Caenorhabditis elegans: one gene and its partner. The protein of the gene in region 2 purifies or fractionates together with the protein of the main gene of each other region. This does not show direct contact. Each region holds a gene or a part of one and is shown on either strand. Other genes may lie near its edges.

Region 1 (6,168 bases), on a different chromosome or scaffold from region 2:
CTTAAAAACGGAAAAAAAGTGTAGTATAGTGGTAATTTAATAGAGAAAAATGTGCACATGTCAACTGATAATATCAGTTGATTTTCAAACTGATTCCTTATTTTGTTTGGCTAGACACTTGGCTACAGTACTGGGAGGAGCATTTTGCTCCGTGAGCATTTTTGATCTACGATTTTAAAAAATTTAGAAATATCTAGTTTGGCCATTAATTTTTAACTAATTGTAGTACTTGAAATTGTCTATTAGTTGATTTTAAAAAAATTTGAAAATTAGCAAAGTGCTAAAAATTGAATTTTAAAAAACTACAACAGTCTCAAGTAGCTGGGGTTTTAACAAAAATTTCAAAATTTTGCATTAGAGCGCATTTGCTAAACCTCAAAAATGAACAAAATTACAGTAATTTAAAATTTCTACATCATTAAAAAACCTCCGCAAAAAATTCTGCAAAAATGTTGATCTTCTGCAAAACCGTGTTGCACTTTAGAATAGTAAACCTGAACTATTTGTAAAAATCAAATTCCCAAACGTTTTGAAAAAGCCCACACAGCACAACACAAACATTGATAGTGATTATGTCATTTTTGATAAGAAATAAACCTTAAAATTCAAAATTCGAATCATTTATTGAGGAAAAGCACCAGAAATCGATGGAACAACAACGCAAAAAGTATGGAAATGGGGAACCCGTGAAATGTCAGCTGCTTTTGGTTTTTTTTTTTTTTGAGAACTTGTTTAAAATGGGTATCCAAACACGATAAAGTCGTGTTCGTACAGATAACGGAATAGTCGGTAAAGATCGTCATGATCTCGTTTTATGGCTACGGCGAGCTCACGTTCGTCCGGTGAGAGCTCCAGGGGAATTTCTGAAAATCAGGATTTTCGGACGCTTCAGACTAAAAAACCTACTCAAAACTTCCTCCTTAATAATCCGCTGAACCTCTTGAGCAACTCCCTGCTCCCCAAGGATTTCATTCAGGTTATCGGAGAACTCCGCCCGTTCAGTTTGATTCCCGCCAATCTTCACTGTACGAATCTTTTGAAACTCCCGATTGAAATGGCAATTCCTGGAAATAATAAACACACTTTGCTAAAAAGCTAACTTCCAAAATTTATTATTAAAACGTCCTCAGACAGCCAAGGTGTCTCGACATATTGGCATTCGGTAATATTTTAGCGAAACCTGTCCTGTTTTCATCCTCACCAGACGTGATTAAAGAAAGAAGGCTCGCGAACGTAATAAACCGACGCGGCGGACAACTTGCGGGTTCCGCGGCGCGCTATGTTTTACGTGGACGCTGCGGGGAGAGAGCGTGTGGTAGGAGGAAACGCAGCGTGGGGGAGGTGATTTAAAGGGGAAATTGCATTTATTGATGTTAAAAATGTGGTTTTTTGGTATTTTCAGTACAAATTTTGGTTTTTTATTGGCATAAAAAGTGAGAATAAAACCTTTTTGGACGGGAAACAATAAAAAATTACGAATTTTTGATGAAATTTTAGTAGTTTTTCTCCAAAAGTGCACTAATATTTTACTTTTTCTTTAAATTTAAAATATTTTACATATTTTTTGAACGTTTCTCTTCATTTTCCAGCTATTTTTCTAATCTTTCAACTTAAAAATCGATTTTAAAGCCAATTTTCCAAATTTTCAGCTAATTTGCAATGGAGCGCGCTTGCATTCCCGACTTTTTTCAAAATACCGTACTTACCAAGTCTGAGGGCTGAAATGATTTGTGATAAACGTCCTGACTGGTCCTGCAAGCCCCTCCGCTGTTTTTTCGTGCTGCTTCAACAATTTCCGCATGAAGCAACTGAGATTGTCCTGGCAGTTGAAGCATTTTCGCTCACTGCAAAAAAAAAATCGATAATTATTGATTTTTTTTTCGTAAAAATCAATAAAACTCACATTTTACACAACTTCTTATATGACCTAACAAATCGTTCCAACGGATGCTGAATAAATACAATCCTTCGAAAATCGTCATTAATTTTATCCCACAGCTTCCAGTCGTTCATATTGAATTCAGCGATTTTGGAGCATAATCTGAATCTCTAATTGTAGAGCACCTAGATAACTTATAAAATTCTTACCCAGTTTCTCCAATATCCTGAGAAATTGTCTTATTCGCCGAAGTGTATAGCGTTGAATTGTACAAATAGCAAAATATGGCTGTATTCATTTCGGGAAAGTTTCCGTTTATGGTGCATCCCGATAGTTTGTACTTTGGGACAAACTGAAAATTTAATTTGAAAATTTTGGAATATTTTGTCAGTTGACAAATTTTTGTTACCTTTAATCTCCGCCGAGATATGCGCATTTAAAGTATTTCGGTCAGCAGAGCGGTAGCGGGGTGTCAGTGGGCGGTAGCGGGCGGTAGCGGGGGTGCCAGTGGGCGGTAGCGGAGCTATAGCGGGGCGGTAGCGGGCGGTAGCGGGGTGTCAGTGGGCGGTAGCGGGGTGTCAGTGGGCGGTAGCGGGGTGTCAGTGGGCGGTAGCGGGCGGTAGCGGGGTGCCAGTGGGCGGTAGCGGGGCTGTAACGGGGCGGTAGCGGGCGGTAGCGGGGTGTCAGTGGGCGGTAGCGGGGTGTCAGTGGGCGGTAGCGGGGCGGTAGCGGGGCGGTAGCGGGGCGGTAGCGGGGCGGTAGCGGGGCTGTAGCGGGGCGGTAGCGGGGTGTCAGTGGGCGGTAGCGGGGCGGTAGCGGGGCGGTAGCGGGGCGGTAGCGGGGCGGTAGCGGGGCGATAGCGGGGCGGTAGCGGGGCGATAGCGGGGCGGTAGCGGGGGCGGTAGCGGGCGACTTTTGTCCAATGTTTATCTGCGCCTTACCTTCTCAGCCCGATACCCCTGCGCAAATGGTGGCAGGGATTTGATGAGGTCCGACATCCAGGCGACTCGAGGTCTGTCTGAAAAAATTGATTTTTTTTTTTGCAATTTTGTCCCCGGTTTTGTTTGTAGTGTTTCTGTGGTTTGGTGATCAAAAATTTTAAACCGTAAAAGGGAGAGGGAAATTAGGAAATTTCAGCTAATTTGAGAAAATTTCGATTTCGCCTAATACGGGCTTGATCAATCATCAGGAATTTGTTTCGAGGAGGTTAGCATAAATTGATTATAGTACTTGTGACAGGGTTACTGTAGTGGTACTGTACTTGGGATTACTATATAGGGTTACTGTAGGAGTACTGTAGTTACTAGTGTTTGCTAGGCACAATTACTGTACAATGAATGTGGGCGTACTGTACTAGGGTTTACCTTACGGGGTTGCTGTAGGAGTACTGAGTATTACTGTATAGGGTTACCGTAGGAGTACTGTTGCTGACTAATGTACTCGGGATTACTACACTAGGTTTACTGTATGGGTATTGTAAAAGTACTATAGTTGACAACTGTACTAAGGTTTACTGCATAGGGTTACTATAGGAGTACTGTAGTTGACACTATTAATTTAAACCAAACAACTCACACCTATCAGTAACCACAGATGGTTGCAGTTGAGCTTGCGGCGGATTCTTCCATTGTGAATATGCGAACCACATGAGCCCGACTGTGATGACAAATGGTACCAATAAATATGCGTGGTTCGAACGTCGAGGTGGCTGCACGTGCTGTAAGGTTGAGGACATCCTCTTGTACTGTGTTGGGAGCTCCCCGACTGGAGGTGGTGGAGGTGTTGTTGGGAGCGGCGGAGGTTTTTGGCACTCGTGTTTGTGCTTTTTTACCATTTTGATAGGTATCCTTAAAGAAAATAGGATTACTGTAAGATTACTGTAGGTGCCCCGTAGGGGTACTGCAGGGTTACTGTAAGAGTATTGTATGGTTACTGTAGAAGTAATGTATATGGTTAGTGTATGGGTAATGTAGGATTACTGTAGGAGTCATGTAGAACTAATGTAGGAGTAATTCAGAACTACTGTAAGAGTATTGTAGGATTATTGTGAGAATACTGTAAGATTACTGTGAGGGTACTGTAAGATTACTGTAAGAAAACTGGAGGATTATTACCGGTACAGAGAGTGTAGATAGTTAGAGAGTGACAGACATCCGGGACCCAATGGGGCGGGGCGCGCGGAAGAGACGATTTGTCTCGATTTACGAAATGATGACAATGAGGAAAAGTTCGTAAATCGACACAAATCGTCTCTTCCGCGCGCCCCGCCCCATTGGGTCCCGGATGTCTGTCACTCTCTAACTATCTACACTCTCTGTACCGGTAATACTGTAGGAGTACTGTATGGTTACTGTGGAAATAGTGTAGGGTTACTGTAGCAGTTCTGCATGGTTAGTGTTGGGGTACTGTATGATTACTGTAAGAGAATTGGAAGATTACTGTAGGGGTATTGTTGAAGTACAATGGAACTTTGAGGGAAGGAGTACTGTTAGGGATTCTCAGCACGCAGAATACATAGTTTCAAACTAGCGAGCTTTCAAAGTTACACAGTAAGCGATAGGTGGAAGCGAAATTTACATCTTTCCAAAAAAAATGCATGGGCGCAAAAACGAATGACGAAGATCACAAAGGTGACGATTTTCAAATAGATAAGACTGGCTAAAAGTCAGGAATTTACAGGCAGATGTCTGAGATGAGAAAATGTGGAAATTTTTGAAAATCGAGAAAACAAAAATATTGGAAAAAGGCAGGAATTTCAGATACCCGGGGATTTAAACAGAAAATTGTAAATTTTTTGGAAAAGCCAAGTGGCGTATCAAATCGCTAATCATTGGGCCTTATGACAAGGATAAAAAGAAGTTGGTGATTATGTGGAGATGATCAGAGGCAGAAATATTATACCTACTTCATGCCTGCGCACCTGCCTACCACCTATTTTCTAAATTATGGCGTCAACTGTACATATAGAATAATTTGAAGTATACAGAAATAAAGGCAAGACTTTGGTAGTAGGCAGGCGTGAGGGCTTGAGGCAAGTATAGGTTGCTTTTCAAGCATGTTAACAGACAGTCAGGTAGGTAGGCAGGACCCCCCCCCCCCCCCCCCACCGCATCAGAAAAACAGAACCATAAAACTACTCCCCTGACAATGTGTAGTTAATGTGTAGGGTATTACGTAAAACGTCTAGGTGTTTCAAGTTTTTTGCCAATTCGCTCTCCCTCTTTTTTTTTATTCTGCGCATCATTTTTGGTGTGTGTGTGTGTTTGTCTAAATCTCTTCTCAATTTCCCATATTTTTTGCGGGGGTTCGGCAGCGGCGGCGGTGAATAAGGAAAAGCTGTAGGTCTGTGTTTGATTGCGCGTTTTGGTGGATTTGCCAAGGACTATTGGGTTTCGGTTAGGGAGGGAAATGAAGCTGGAGGAGAATTTTTCTGGGGATTTATGCAACTTAAAATTGGGAAAGCTTGGCGTTCGGAAAATGTATCCAAAAAAAAGTAATGACGGTTCAAAATTTTGAAAAACAATACCAATTTTCAGCTGAAATTTCAAATTTTGTCTCGAACTTTTCAAAAAATTCCAACAACTGCCAAAAAACTTACCAACTATCTGACTAACTATAGTCGTTTGAAAAGTAAAATATTTGCCGGAAATTTTTGAAATATTTCTGGAAAATGACAAAAGTTGCCGAGAGGTTTGAAAAAAGCAACGAAAAATGATAAAATTATTTTAAAATTTCCGAAAAATTTCCGCTATGACTCGGCGTTTGCCGCCAGCTTCCTACCCAAGGCTTCGCAACTTCTTACCCAAGCCTTGCCCAAAAAATAAAAACATTTATAAGGAGTTGCCAAGACTTGGGTAAACCTTGGGCAAAAGTTGGGCGCCGCCTCAAAAATGAAAAAAGTCGTCGACTGCCTCGTCGTCCCGAGGCGTCGCCCTAGTCTTACCCAAGTCTTACCCAAGTTTTGCCTATTCCTTACCCAATTTATACCTGTGTGTTGAACTTTGATCTCATTTCCCGTTGTGCCGAAGTCTTACCTGCTGAGCCATGATGGTCGCGCGAAAAGATGCACACTATCGTACTCATATTCTGATAGATATTTTTGAGGAAGTACCAGACATATCGGATTGATACGGTATTCTCACATACCTTATTTCATTTGTTTTCAAGTGTGCTCCCTAATGATCCTAAGTACAGAATTTACAGAATTACTGTAATTCATGTTTGTTTCTTGTCTTTCAATTTTTTAAAAGTTTACATTTCAAAGAAACAGTTCGGTTTTAGAAAAATTC
Region 2 (4,487 bases):
CCAATTGTGCTATCCCATGTCTGCTTCTCCTCGAGATGAGTTCGTTTTTGGTCCGACAATTGAGATTGGAGATCTCTTAAAAGTGGAAATTGGAACAGTACTAAGAATTTCTCAAAAAAGCCTCTTTTTTTTGAATTAAAAAATTAAAAAGCTATTAATTAAAAGCTCGACCATCGAGTATGGGAGAGAATTTGAATTTTCGTCATAAATCCGAAATGTGAAAAATTTAAGGAAAAACCTTACCTTATCTGAGCTTCCAATTCTTCCATATCAGATCTCAAGGTATAAACTTGAAGTTGTGCAGATTCTAAATCGGCTTTTGTAAGGTCTCTTTCAACTCTGATCTCTTCAACTTCAGCTTGAAGAAGATGAACAGGACGATCACTGGATCCGATTCCTTGCTGAATTGAATTTTAATATCAATCCTCGGTCAAATCTCTCAAACCTCTGACTTCAGCGACTCCACCAGTTTCTCTTTAGCTGTCAAAATTTTCTGCGCCTTGTTCTTGTACTCATCAAATTCTTTTTTGTTCTCATTCAGATTGAACTTTGCCAGCCTCAACTGTTCGACCATCGCACGAATTTCTTCTTCCAAACCAACTATTTTTCTCTTATGCATGTTACACTCCTCCACTGCTTTCTCTTTTTGATCTTGTGCTTTTTGTCTAGAAAACTTGAATTAAATGCAAAACAACACGTCAAGATGTTAATATAATTACCTGGCTAATTTCAATTCTTGAAGACTATCCATTTCATGACTTGATACTTTTTGGTTTTCAACTCTCTTCTCTAACATTTCCTTTTCAGCTTTCATCTCGTAATAATCTTGACTACGTTTTTCAAATTTTCTTTCCACTTCAGAAAGTTTCGTTTTTAATACTGATATTTGAGAATCCTTTGCAAATAATTGAGATTTAAAATTGGGACTCGAATCGTTTCCCGCAAATTCTGCTGAAAAATCAAAATTCAAAAGTTTCGTAAGAATCGTCAAAACATACAGGTAGTTCGAATACTAGCAACACTACGGCCTCCAACACTCCTCTGACTTCGTGTATCTTCATCTGGTTTTGCATTTTTTACTTCTTTCGAGTTTAAAACCATCGTCCAACTTTCAGATGCTGCTGTTACTCCTGGCTGATGAGTCGATGAACTACCCCTGAAATTTTAAATGACACATGTGAAGAAAATCAGAATAACGAACTGTTCATAATTTCTTCCTCCTCTCCATCCGGCTCCGGTATAATCACTCTGAGCTCTCGAGGGAAGAGATGGAGCCGGTCTGCCGAAATCTTCAGTGATAACATGTTCTGGCATCGAAATAATCGTTGCTGAGACGCTGGCGGTACTTGATTTACGTGTTCGAGGAGCGGAATCTCTGGCATTTTGAATTGCGTCTCCAGTCTGTAACATTTATTCTGTACATAGAAACATTAGTTTCAAGATTTGCCTTTTCATCAAGTTTATTCAAAAGATTTTCGGCCGCTCCGGCAATATCGGACACTTTAGACAACCATGACATTCGTGTTTAATTCTCTGTAAAAACAAGTTATTCATTTTACGTGGGTTTGAATAATCGTTTAAATAAAAGTTTCCAATGTATGACAAACGAAAGATATGCGTTTCAAAACATGTATTTCAGAAAATCGATTACGAAGCATAAAAACAAGAACAAGCTTTGAAAGAACGTGGATTCGTCAAGTTCGGTCATGAGAAACCTAGACCCCAATTTCTAGGCCACCGAACAATGATAGAATTTTTCCTGATTTTATAGATTTACCTCAATAATTTTAATACATTTTCAATTTTAATATATTAATAAACATATTAAGAAAATATTCAAGAAAATATTTGGGATTCATCATCAATTTAGGAACACCTGGAAAAAGTCAAAGTTTCATGTTCAATGGAGCGCGTAGGCTTGTCACAAATGTTAGTCCTCGAATGTGCTGATTTTCTTATTTAAATTTTTTTTAAAATTAATTTTGTTCGATTCTTCCAAACTATGTTTTTAGACAACATGCATAAATATCCGACAGAAATTTATATAAAATATTTCGAATAACTCCATTTCAGTTTAGATATGTCATACGGCCCTCAGCTTCCTGCATTTCTCATGAAAGGTCAAATAAAAGAGGTGTGATTGATATTTTACTTTACATCCAGCTGATGCTATTTTTGTTTCAGAATGAAGTGGATGACGAAGCAGAAGAAGGCGCTCCCCAAGTCTACGGCCCTGTAATTCCAGGAATGGAAGAACCAAAAAATGAAAAAGAAAAGCACGATGATCAGGAAGAGACAAGTGTATTTGGACCTTCCATACCAAAAGAAGTTAGAGAAAAATTACAAAACGTAGAAAACCCCGCTGAAGACGACGAGGAGGATGAAGAAGTTGTTGATAAATAAATTTGGAAATTTTATATATCTTGAAAATTTCAGTTTCCTTCACAATCCTATGGTCCATCGATTCCTTCAAACTTTCGTCCTACCGTTGGTCCTTCAATTCCAGGAACTTTTGGTGATGATTCTGATGAAGACATTGTAAGTGAAATTGTAAAAAGCGCTGAAATATTATTGATCTTTTACATTCAAAATTAAAGGGCCCAATGCCAGTTGCAAAAGGGGATGAAGAGAAAGAAGCAATTGATCGAGCATATCGGATGGTATTACAAAAAGAAGCAGAAGACGATGAAAAGGTAAAATTAATAGCTTAAGTTTTTTCTCAGAATATATATTTTAGAATTTCCAACCAAAACGCGAAGAATGGATGACATCAGTGCCGAAAAAACTAGGAAATTTCGGTCTTGGCGCGCGAACTTTCAAAAAAGGAACCACATCAGAAAGGGATGCTTCTTGGGAAGATGCTCCAGGAGCTAAGAAAAGAAGAAATGAGGAGACAAGAAGTGCGAGATCTGTTGGAATTGCTGCTGCTGATGCTAGACAAGCTGCTATTGTCGCGGAAAAGACATCTGGACCCTCTCTTCTAGAAATTCATCAAAAAAAGAGAGATGAAAAAGTTAAAGACGCGGTAAGTTGGAAAATGGGTAGTTCTAAAAATAAAAATAAAAATTATAGGGCATTCATGTCATGAATTCCATAACTTTTGACGAAAATTATAAATTTAAATTATTCAAAAAAATACATTGATCAAATTATTTTTGAAAAACGCAATCAGTTTAACATTTCTTTAAAAAAAAACTTCGATTTATAACAAAAGTGCAGTTTATCAAAATTTTTATTTAATCTAAAAATTAACCAATTCAATTTCAGGGCTATGCACAAGGAGAACGCCGTCCGTTTGATCGAGAAAAAGACATGGAAGTCCGTGGATTGAAACCAGGTGGCAGCAAGGAAGCTGTCGATCGAATGAAAGAATTTGCTGATCGATTCGCGAATAGTAAAGATCAGCGGTTTCTATGAATATTTTGTTTGTTGATCTAACTTCGTACTACATAAATTTTCATTTATTTATATCATGCGACTTTACATTTGAGGGTTTAGAAAACCATTTTCAGGGGCTTTTGAAAATCCTGAAAAAATCATTTTTTGGGTTCCTTTTATATGACTTCTCTCAAGTCCCCGTGTTGTCAATTTCTGTTCTAATAATTATTTTCTAAAATTTCTATATATACTTCCATGTATATATCTATACAAACATTTTCACCTGGGAAGGTAAGTGGTGCAATTCTCATTAATAATTCTAAAACTGACCAGTATAGTGAAACCAGATACGACTCTCCGTTGATCTCACTTGCTTAGGTTTTTGACTCGGCACACACAATATTCACAAATTAATTTTGGTTAAACAATAAAACTATATAGTTCTGACAATATGTATATACGAATAATAAAGTGTTATATCGAATCAAAATTAATTGTTGTACTATAACTATACTTCCAAAGAGAATGGGTTCAATTTCAGGAGACGAGTGGGCGGGGCTACACAAAAATGTCATTTTTCTTTCCGCTCCACTTATCTTCATTTTGTTAGGTGTCCATGCGGTGTCCGGTGGTACCGCTTTTCTTCCGCATTCCTTTTTTTTTACCAGAAAATTGGTTTTCCTTGAAAAATTAGACTTGAGATTTTTATTGTACGGTACAAATTCTTGTCGCTCGATTTTCTAATTTTTCTCACGATCTCGCTGAAAGTAAATTTGAATATTATCAACTGAATTATGAAAAAGGAAACAGTGGCACAATAAACTTTTTCTCGCTGCGAGACCCATCCGAATAAATCCGTGTGTCTTCAAGTACGCGTTTCAGAATACTGCACAAATACGATAATAGTATCTTAATTTCACAAAATTTTGACAAGCCTTAGGAAAGACACACGGATTTATTTAGATAGGTCTCGGTGCGAAAAAGTTAAAACAGACTATCATAAACTTTTTGCGCGCCAAGACCAATCTGAACAAATCGTGAGCCTTTAAAAAAGCAGGCCAAAATCTAGTAAATTTACAATAGACAGATTGTCAAAATTTTGAATTTTA

What was found.
Region 1: the proteins of F26A3.7 (region 2) and F01D5.10 fractionate together in Caenorhabditis elegans (co-fractionation; one large-scale study listed by BioGRID). This does not show direct contact.

What each region holds. Positions count from the first base shown.
Region 1 is NC_003280.10:14,017,233-14,023,400, forward strand, and holds F01D5.10 (Carbohydrate sulfotransferase), read right to left. Parts: upstream 4,099-6,168; 5' UTR 3,994-4,098; intron 3,727-3,993; 5' UTR 3,714-3,726; coding exon 3,455-3,713; intron 2,898-3,454; coding exon 2,821-2,897; intron 2,232-2,820; coding exon 2,089-2,231; intron 2,042-2,088; coding exon 1,904-2,041; intron 1,845-1,903; coding exon 1,707-1,844; intron 1,210-1,706; exon of another isoform or gene 1,121-1,209; intron 1,065-1,120; coding exon 907-1,064; intron 864-906; coding exon 733-863; 3' UTR 607-732; downstream 1-606.
Region 2 is NC_003279.8:7,673,714-7,678,200, reverse strand, and holds F26A3.7 (uncharacterized protein), read left to right. Parts: upstream 1-2,073; 5' UTR 2,074-2,080; coding exon 2,081-2,134; intron 2,135-2,184; coding exon 2,185-2,388; intron 2,389-2,436; coding exon 2,437-2,538; intron 2,539-2,597; coding exon 2,598-2,693; intron 2,694-2,737; coding exon 2,738-3,025; intron 3,026-3,267; coding exon 3,268-3,417; 3' UTR 3,418-3,467; downstream 3,468-4,487. Other genes in the region: golg-5 (Golgin-84), read right to left, coding at 1-75, 244-401, 446-665, 720-951, 999-1,156, 1,202-1,401, 1,448-1,519.